Oryzias latipes: one gene and its partner. The protein of the gene in region 1 purifies or fractionates together with the protein of each later gene. This does not show direct contact. Links are inferred from orthologs where the notes say so. Each region holds a gene or a part of one and is shown on either strand. Other genes may lie near its edges.

Region 1 (4,138 bases):
GAAAGGTTCAGAGCACTGTCTAGTGCAGGGGTCCCCAAATCCAGGCCTGGTAGGCCAGTGTCCTACATGTATTCCAACCAACCTGCCATTGAAGCGCCTCATTGGCTAAACACACCTGGTCCAGGTAATCAGCAGCAAGTAAGGCAGGGTTGCTGGAAAACCAGCAGGCCACTGGCCCTCGAGGCCTGGATTTGGGGACCCTTGGTCTAGATGACCCTACTACCAATCTTAAAGTGCCTAGGATAGCACAAGGGTTAACCCCCCCCCCCTTCCCATTCTGTCTTGATTGACAGTTGACCAATCAATCATCAGTTCCAGGAAAGGGGTGTGTACAAATCGCTCTGCCTCCAGATCATTGACTGTATTGGAGAACAGGATGAGCGAGACGTCGAAAACGGTTTCCTTATGGCTCCGACCAAACGAAGTCCATTCAGTTGCCATTTTATCGATTTGGATGCCGCCAGACAACATCAGAGTTGGTCAACGTTTCTATGGCAACCACTCTCACCAATCACTAGTGAACTCATTGGAAGGCCACACCCCTACCACTTGATAAGTCAGGAAACTGTGGTTTCTGGTGATTTTTGTTTTGCTTTTGTCTAAATGTTTGTGCAGAGAAGAGGCCAAAGGTCGGGAAGCATCCATTTATTATCGATGTAAATGTGTGGATGATCCTTGATGGGGCCGCCTCCCGGACGGACGCCCCCCCCCCCGTGGACAGGATGTGATAATGCACTTCTTCATGTTACACGTCACAACAATGCTGGCTATGAACGGCCCGGAACACGAAAGGCTGATGGGTTTCTGTTCCGGCGCGGCGCCGGACGTTCAGGAGCAGTCGCGGTTGGTCACATGGGACGGGGTCTTAGTCGTCCAGGAAGAAATAGTTCCCGCTCTTTTTCTGTTCCGTGTCCTAGATGAAACAAAAGACATTTAGCATCGTGTGGAGAAACGAACCGTGGATCCCGCCGGGCGCCAACCTTGATGGAGTTGAGCTTGTTGATGCGCGGCCTAAAGTTGTTGGGGTCCCTCCTGAAGGTGATCTCCAGCAGCGACAGGAAGCGGTTCATCCCCGCCAGCAGACCCTGAGGCCTGACGGAGAAAAGACACGGCCGTTAGACGGCGACCATCCGGACGTTAGCGCGCCGCGCGGACGATCCTCACGTGTTAGCCAGCGTCTCCCTGGAGGGAATGCCGTCGAACACGATGACTCTGTCGGCGAGGTACGTCGCCATGATGAAGTCGTGCTCCACCACAAACGCCGTCTTCTTGGCGTGGAGGATGTACCTGCCGACAAACGTCAGATCAGAAACGGCGCCCCACACAGGCCGGGCTGCGCAACTGCAGGTTCTTAAAAACTTTGAAGCTTCGTTCTAACAACAGGGACACCTGGTGGCCAACTGAAGCCGTAGCTCGACTGAAGCAGTACAGAAAACACAAAAGACGACAAATGATGCCGTTTTTCTGGACATTTTTAAAGAAATTAAAATTTAAACAAAAGTAAAAGAATTCTGATTGGAAAGAAAACAAGTAGAATTTACAACAACCTTAAAAGCAACTTTAGATGAAATACGGCCCTCACATTGACAACTGAAGTTATAATTTAAGGCGACACCAGTTTGACATTTTAGAGATTTAAAATTATATTTTTTTGTTTTTCTTCAGTATAATTTGGTGTTTTTCCAGTAAATTACAACCGAAAACACTGAAAACTCTGACATCCTTTCATTTCCTCGGTCTATAGAAGAGAAGCTCCACCTCTTGATGACTCTGGCCGCCATCAACCTCTGCTCGGAGTCCAGGTACGCCGACGGCTCGTCGACCAGGTAAACATCGGCCGGCTTCCCCAGACAGAGCGTGAGGGCGACTCGCTGCAGCTCACCGCCGGAGAGGTTCTGCACCTGCAGGGGGGGAGGGGTTTCCCGTTTAGAAGCGCCTCAGAGCAGCGGTGCGGCGTCGGCATCAGAGCGCCTTACGTCCTGGTCGATGATGCTCTCGATCTGCATGGGCTTCATCACGTCGGTGATGAACTGCGGGTGCGTGTACGCGTCCCGGATCTTCTCGTGTAGCAGCGCCCGGACGCTGCCCTGTGGACAAACACACCGGCGTCGGCACCTCTGAGACGACCACGCAAGTAACCGACTGAGCGGCTCTCACCTTGAACTTGGGGCTGATGGTCTGAGGCTTGTAGCTCACGTTCAGGATGGGAACCTCGCCTAGGAGACAGAGCGCAGGTCAGAGCGCGCCTGCGCGGCTTAGAGCCTGTCTGCGCGGCTCAGTCTGTGAGCACACTCACCTCCACTGTCGGGTTTGAGTCCGCCGGCCAACATCCGGATGAAGGTGGTCTTCCCCGTTCCTGCAAACATCATGTAAGATCCAGAGGACCAATAGGAACAGAACCAGAACCGCGGCAGCCTCAGAGACTCCCCCCACAGTGCGTTTGGCTACATTTTCTGTGTCTGTGGTTCAGTGGGTTAAACACCGTCTATGTTGGTCTAAAGTTTGAGTCCCAAACTGGTCACTCAGGAAGATGCTCCTCATGTTACTTTGTAAGCATTAGGTAACCATCCCATTAGTTTACTTGTAAAAGAATCCTGCTTTTAGAAGGTATTGTGTTTTAGAGTGAATTTAGACGCCATTTTACTCCTGTGAGTTCTCCATGACTCCGCCTATTCCATAAATCAGCATGTTTTGCTTCATTTATCTGGTCTTTGAGGAGTCGTCTGCGTGTTAAACAGCCGCTGAACGGCCCTCAATGAGGATGAACCCTGAACTCCAAAGCCGCTGACGCGCCGACTTCTATTTATGTAAACAAAATGCTTTTTAAAGTGACGATAGCTCCGCCTCCAAACTTCATGCACTCAGAAACGAGTTGCTGCTTCAGAAGCTGAGTGGTTGGAGTCAGAAAGTTGTGGTTCTTGGCTCAGAAGCTGCCGAAAAAACCGGGCGGCTCACCATTCTCTCCCAGCATCACCATGATCTCGGAGTCCGTGAACTCTCCCCCTTTGATGGCCAGCGTGAACTCGCCCATCGTCTTCACCATGTCTGGATACTGAACGCCAGAACAGAGGCAGAAAATTAATGAAATGTCATGTTCACATTCAGCACAGAGTTAGAGGTTTGGGGGCTTATCCGGGATATCAACGACAGTTTTTGGGGGCTTGTCCGGGATATCAGCAACAGTTTTTAGGGGCTTGTCCGGGATAATAACAACAATTTTTGGGGGGCTTGTCCGGGATATCAAGAACAGTTTTGGGGGGCTTGTCCGGGATATCAACAACAGTTTTTAGGGGCTTGTCCGGGATATCAGCAACAGTTTTTGGGGGGGCTTGTCCGGGATAATAACAATTTTTGGGAGGCTTGTCCGGGATATCAACAACAAAAGAAAAATTCAAATCTCACATACCTGGTAGTGTCTGAGTCTTTTCACTTCCTCTTCATTGGCCGTTTCTGCCACCTTAAAGACCAATGAGGTTTCCCGAAACCTGAGGTTCTCTGTGGGAACGTAGCCGTCCAGGAAGATGTTGATACCTGCAAGAGAAGCGGAGTGAATGAGCGAATCGGACACTTTGCAGCCGTGGCTTTCACTCCTCCGCTGTCTGAGTTAAGCTTGACCTTCTCGGACGCTGAAGGGCATGGTCACGACCCCGTAGGCGCTGGGGACTCCGTACAGACAGCAGATGAAGTCGGACAGGTAGTCCAACACGCTCAGGTCGTGCTCCACCACAATGATGTACCTGAGATGGAACAGGACGTTGAAGAACAAGAAAAGGATCCAGGAGAAAAGGCGGCGGCTGGTTCCTCACCTGTCTGGGGTGATGAGGGAGCGGATGGTGATGGCAGCCTTCAGCCTCTGCTTCACATCCAGGTAACTGGACGGCTCATCAAACATGAAACTGCGGCAGAAGAGCGGAGGCCGTGAGATCAAAGCAAAGAGCGGGAAAATGAGGATGAAACCAGGAACTCACATGTCGGCCCTCTGGATGCAGACGACGGCGCAGGCAAACCTCTGCAGCTCTCCTCCGGACAGGTCCTCCACGTTCCTCTCCCGCAGGTGACTCAGATCTGCAGCAGCAACAGACTTACAACGTCAACCGACGAAGAACCGCCAGACGCTCCCCAGAACAGGCGTTCATCG
Region 2 (4,276 bases), on another chromosome or scaffold:
TTAAAGACTCAGGATGAAATGGGATACCTGTCTGAACTTTGCTCGAAGTTTCTCCGTCTCATCTTGCAGTTTTTCAGACTGTGGATCATCCAGGTTACAGTTCTGGATCAAAGCCAGCACGGCGTCCAAGGCCTTCACGCGCTTTCTGCTGACACAACACATTGAGCTGGAACGGGCCTCAACTCAAACTCCACACAATCCTTCAATGCTGGGAAATGTCCGGGATGCTGCCTGACGCAGAGCGGCGACCACAGCACCAATGTTCAGAATCCAGGGATTCCCGACCTACATGGAAAACTGCACATGTTCCAACCAACAGTTTTTGTTGTCCGTTTAATTCCTTAGAAGGTTGGTGTGTATTTTTACCAAAGGTTTCAAATCTGCAAGTTTAGCAGAGTCCTACAAAACCACAGAGACTGAAGGTGGATAACTTGTTCTGGATCCAGATCCAGAACCAGCAGAACTAAAATTGCGTAGTAGCCGTAAATGCCATCAGACCACTCTCGGCCTCAGCATTTCCTTACAAAAAGGTTTATGAAGTCATTGCATCTACACTGAGCCAGAACACAAGAGATCCTTCCATCTTCCTCCGCTCATCCGGGACGGGTGGCCCTTCTCCACCTCCCTGTAGCCTCACCCTTTGTCCTCTAGAATGCAACAAGACAGCAGAAGAAGCTCATGTGGAAATAAGAACTACAGTCAGAATAACCCCAAAAACAAGTGCTCTCCCACTCAATTAATGAAGAGGTTTCCTGCGCCCCCTTGTGGACAGCAATGGATTGGTCACAGATAAAAGGTTCTAGTGGAGAAAATAAAACCCGTTTGGACAAACAGAATATCACTTCAAACAGCTAGAACAAGAACCATAAGAGTTACGAAAGAGGAAATCCTTATCTGAGTTTGCTGAACCCAGAAACTCACTGCAAGTTCAGAAAAAACTCACCAAGTACAAGGGACTAAAAAACAAATAATTCTTTTATTCACACAACCCTTCCGGTGGGCGTGTTTTGTAGTAAAATCCACCTTTTTCTACTTAACAGAAGACTGGAGGCAAAAACAAAGCCTGACTATGGCGATCCTCTCTCCACTAGAATGAGCAGCTTCTTCACCATTTGCTTCGACTCTTCACCTGGACCCAACAGGAATCAGAACAGCACCAACCAACCGCATGCAGACTCACGTTACGGAAAATGTACGAGCGCGACATGAAAAAACAAACAAACCAAAGAACTCCCTGATTATCAACAGTCTGTGTGCTGCAGGAAACACTGTTCACTCGGGGGGAGGACGAGGAAAACACAATATCCGTCATGGACACGAGGGTCCAACGCAAAGAGGACGGCAGCACAACGACAACAGCACTTTGAAAACCCACACACACATACCAGCACCTGCAATGACACAACACCCCCTCTACTGTAGGGAGCAGGAGCGGGACACTCTACAGGCGTTCACAGGGTGTGTAACGCACAGAACCTAATGGGTCATTTTCATGCCCCATCATGCACCCTCATCCCTTTTATGGCCTGGCCTCCTGGTGAATGGCACAGAAGGCTGTCTTGCCTGTGGATGTGTAGCTTCTGACTCAGATGGAGGCTTCTTTAAAGGCTTGCAGCTGTTTTGAGTTGATTAAGGTGTGATTTCATGACTTTCCTACTTTAAATTCTTTAAAAAAAAATGATTCTTAGTTTTGAGGCTCTGTAGATATTTTAGAATAAAGGGTTGGTTTTAATTTACTTTTTTTGTCTGTTTGGTTTAACTGTAAAGCTATGAGTTGTTCAAAGCGTGAAAAGAGCCTTTTGATGAATAACGCTTGATTTGGATTCACATGAACGCTCAACACGACTGTGACTCATAAACGTCTTGTAGTTCCTGAAACACCCCGAGCAACGTACCTTGACTTGTCATCTGTGCTTTGCTGGAGGAGACACTTCCATGTGACGGCAAAACCGTAATAGAAGGAGATCTGTGGCATGAGACGATCCAATCAGGACGTGGTGCAGCTGAGTAAGGCTGGACAGACGGTCACGGGGACCGAAAACTGGACTCACCTCAGAGGACAGCTTGGCTCCATGGGAGGCTCCGTGTCGGCGGCCGTCCTGCAGACCACGGCGAGTCCCCTTCTCAAAACCCTCCTGGTAACCTTCACCTCGAAACCTGGAGAACAGTCAGCAGAAAACCCTACATTACTCCCATGACATCCTGGGATTTGAACCACAGCTTTCCAAAAAAATAAATGAACCACAAAAGAAAAACAATAATAAATGCTGTTCTTTTATTGACTGGAGTTTTCTGCAGGAAATTTAAAATAAAAGGAGGAGAGGAGGGACAGAAAGCAAATTAAAAATAACAGCGTTAATGAAGACGGTCATGATCCCCGTGCAGCGGAACCCACATCCGGTGTTAGACCGGAACCCGGTGAGGGGACTTCACCAGATGTTGTCCAGAAACGCACTGATGGGGAGCATCCTAATTCTTTTACTACCAAAATGTGGCGTTTACCCGGTAACCACACGGTTAACTTAAGCGCATGCGCAAAGCACACCCGATCGTGAAAAGTTTTACCGGTCGAAAAACAAACACATTCTGACGATTTTTAGAAATGCTTTTTGTTTCTATTCAACATCTTACGACAGAAAAAAAGGCAAAAACGGTTTAAATAGAAAACATCGTGAAAATAACATAAAAGAGAACAGAAAATGTAACAATAAAGGTATAAATGTTACACTGACGACGTTTCTAAGCCGTCAAGCGCGTGCCCCACCAATAAAACAACGTTTATACAGAAAACTTGCTTTTCATCGGCTAAAATGATGCTGTCAAACAGATCATCCGCTGGGTGGACGCCAGGCATCTCCATTCTGCAGCCAACTAAAGAGCTGACGGCAGGAGATCCTCGCAGCTGCTCTTCTTCTATGTCAACACAGTGTGTTCACTATGGACGTACAGAGCAGCACTGCCCCCTACCGGACAGCGGGACTCACTGCATGCAAACACACGAACAGTGTTTGGAGTCAATCTGTAATACAAGTTTGCCCGTTAGAGACCATTGTAAAATGTCTCAATTAAGATAGAATAGAACAGAATATACCCCACAAAGGAGAAATGATCTAGCTCTAATTAAAAGAACGCAGATAAATAATAACACTGAAACATGATACTAAAACAATAAAAACAATAATTATGTCCAGTGCCCAGTGGCGCCTCCAGAAAGTTTTCATGGGGGTGGCCGGTAGGGGGCCACATTAAATCTTGGGTGGCACACAAAAACCATGAGCTGCATTTTTAAAATTCATTCTACTAAACGTAGTAAAACAACCCTTAGAAAACCAACAGAAAGTTAAATGCCTACTGATTTTTTTCTAGAACATTGACTTATAGTTGATACTACTATAGATTCTAGTAGATGTCATTAGGCCAGTGTTTTTCAACCTTTTTTGAGCCACGGCAGACTTTAACCTTGACAAAAATCCTGCGGCACACCAGCAAAAAAAATTTTTCAATTTAAAAAAAAAAAGGAGAAACTCATAGTCTATATTGATCTAAAGTCCTTCTGCAATCTCACATGCATTTTGTGACAATTGTGGCAGAAAAATCTGATGAAATAAAAGTTAAGTTAAAAGATTCAAAAACTGTTTGATGTGTGTTCGTTGTTGTTACAAGACGTTTAGAGGAGAGACTCACTTTGCGCTGAGACGCTGTCACTTTAACCCAATGCATCATGGGAGATGTAAACAGCCGCCAAGCGCAGAAAGACTAGCGTCTCTGAGCTTCCTTCTTTTCTTCACTTGTTCCACGGTCTGATACCAGATTCAGTGGAAAGATACACCGCTAAAGACAAGCTTTAGCTGGTATTTTTGTTGGAACCGAGCGACTTTATGAGCAGAATCAGAACAAGGAATTGAAGACTTTAACGACTTCTGATTGGTCAGACTGATGACATGTGATTAAGCCTCCAAGAATGATTGGTGGAGACAGTTAAAGGGGCGGGACTTTACAGAAAACAGTTAATACTGCAGATAAGAAGTATTTTACGATCTTTCATATTCCTAACTACTCAGTGTTTTATCAGGGCCTGATTGGATGAACACAGAGCTGATATCCTGGAGATGGAAAATGTTTTTAGATCAGTTACCGTAATGACAGTAATTTCCCACGGCACACTGGTGCGCTGCGGCACACTGGTTGAAAAACACTGCATTAATTCTAACTTCACCAGTTGGTCCAGGAACAGGTGGAAGACTTTTTGCTGAGTTCTGCCTTGTTTCTCTGACCA

What was found.
Region 2: the proteins of abce1 (region 1) and oraov1 purify together in Homo sapiens (affinity purification with mass spectrometry; 4 studies listed by BioGRID and IntAct, with this or other methods). This does not show direct contact. The link is inferred for Oryzias latipes from reciprocal best matches to the Homo sapiens genes ABCE1 and LTO1.

Annotation. Positions count from the first base shown.
Region 1 is NC_019876.2:3,198,263-3,202,400, reverse strand, and holds the end of abce1 (ATP-binding cassette sub-family E member 1), read right to left. Parts: intron 4,066-4,138; coding exon 3,969-4,065; intron 3,897-3,968; coding exon 3,807-3,896; intron 3,738-3,806; coding exon 3,616-3,737; intron 3,532-3,615; coding exon 3,407-3,531; intron 3,053-3,406; coding exon 2,956-3,052; intron 2,357-2,955; coding exon 2,297-2,356; intron 2,217-2,296; coding exon 2,158-2,216; intron 2,088-2,157; coding exon 1,977-2,087; intron 1,902-1,976; coding exon 1,759-1,901; intron 1,288-1,758; coding exon 1,165-1,287; intron 1,093-1,164; coding exon 981-1,092; intron 914-980; coding exon 866-913; 3' UTR 631-865; downstream 1-630. UniProt on the Homo sapiens protein: Nucleoside-triphosphatase (NTPase) involved in ribosome recycling by mediating ribosome disassembly. Able to hydrolyze ATP, GTP, UTP and CTP. Splits ribosomes into free 60S subunits and tRNA- and mRNA-bound 40S subunits.
Region 2 is NC_019861.2:4,835,169-4,839,444, reverse strand, and holds the start of oraov1 (oral cancer-overexpressed protein 1), read right to left. Parts: upstream 2,942-4,276; 5' UTR 2,861-2,941; coding exon 2,733-2,860; intron 2,158-2,732; coding exon 2,052-2,157; intron 1,967-2,051; coding exon 1,896-1,966; intron 149-1,895; coding exon 28-148; intron 1-27. UniProt on the Homo sapiens protein: The complex LTO1:YAE1 functions as a target specific adapter that probably recruits apo-ABCE1 to the cytosolic iron-sulfur protein assembly (CIA) complex machinery. May be required for biogenesis of the large ribosomal subunit and initiation of translation.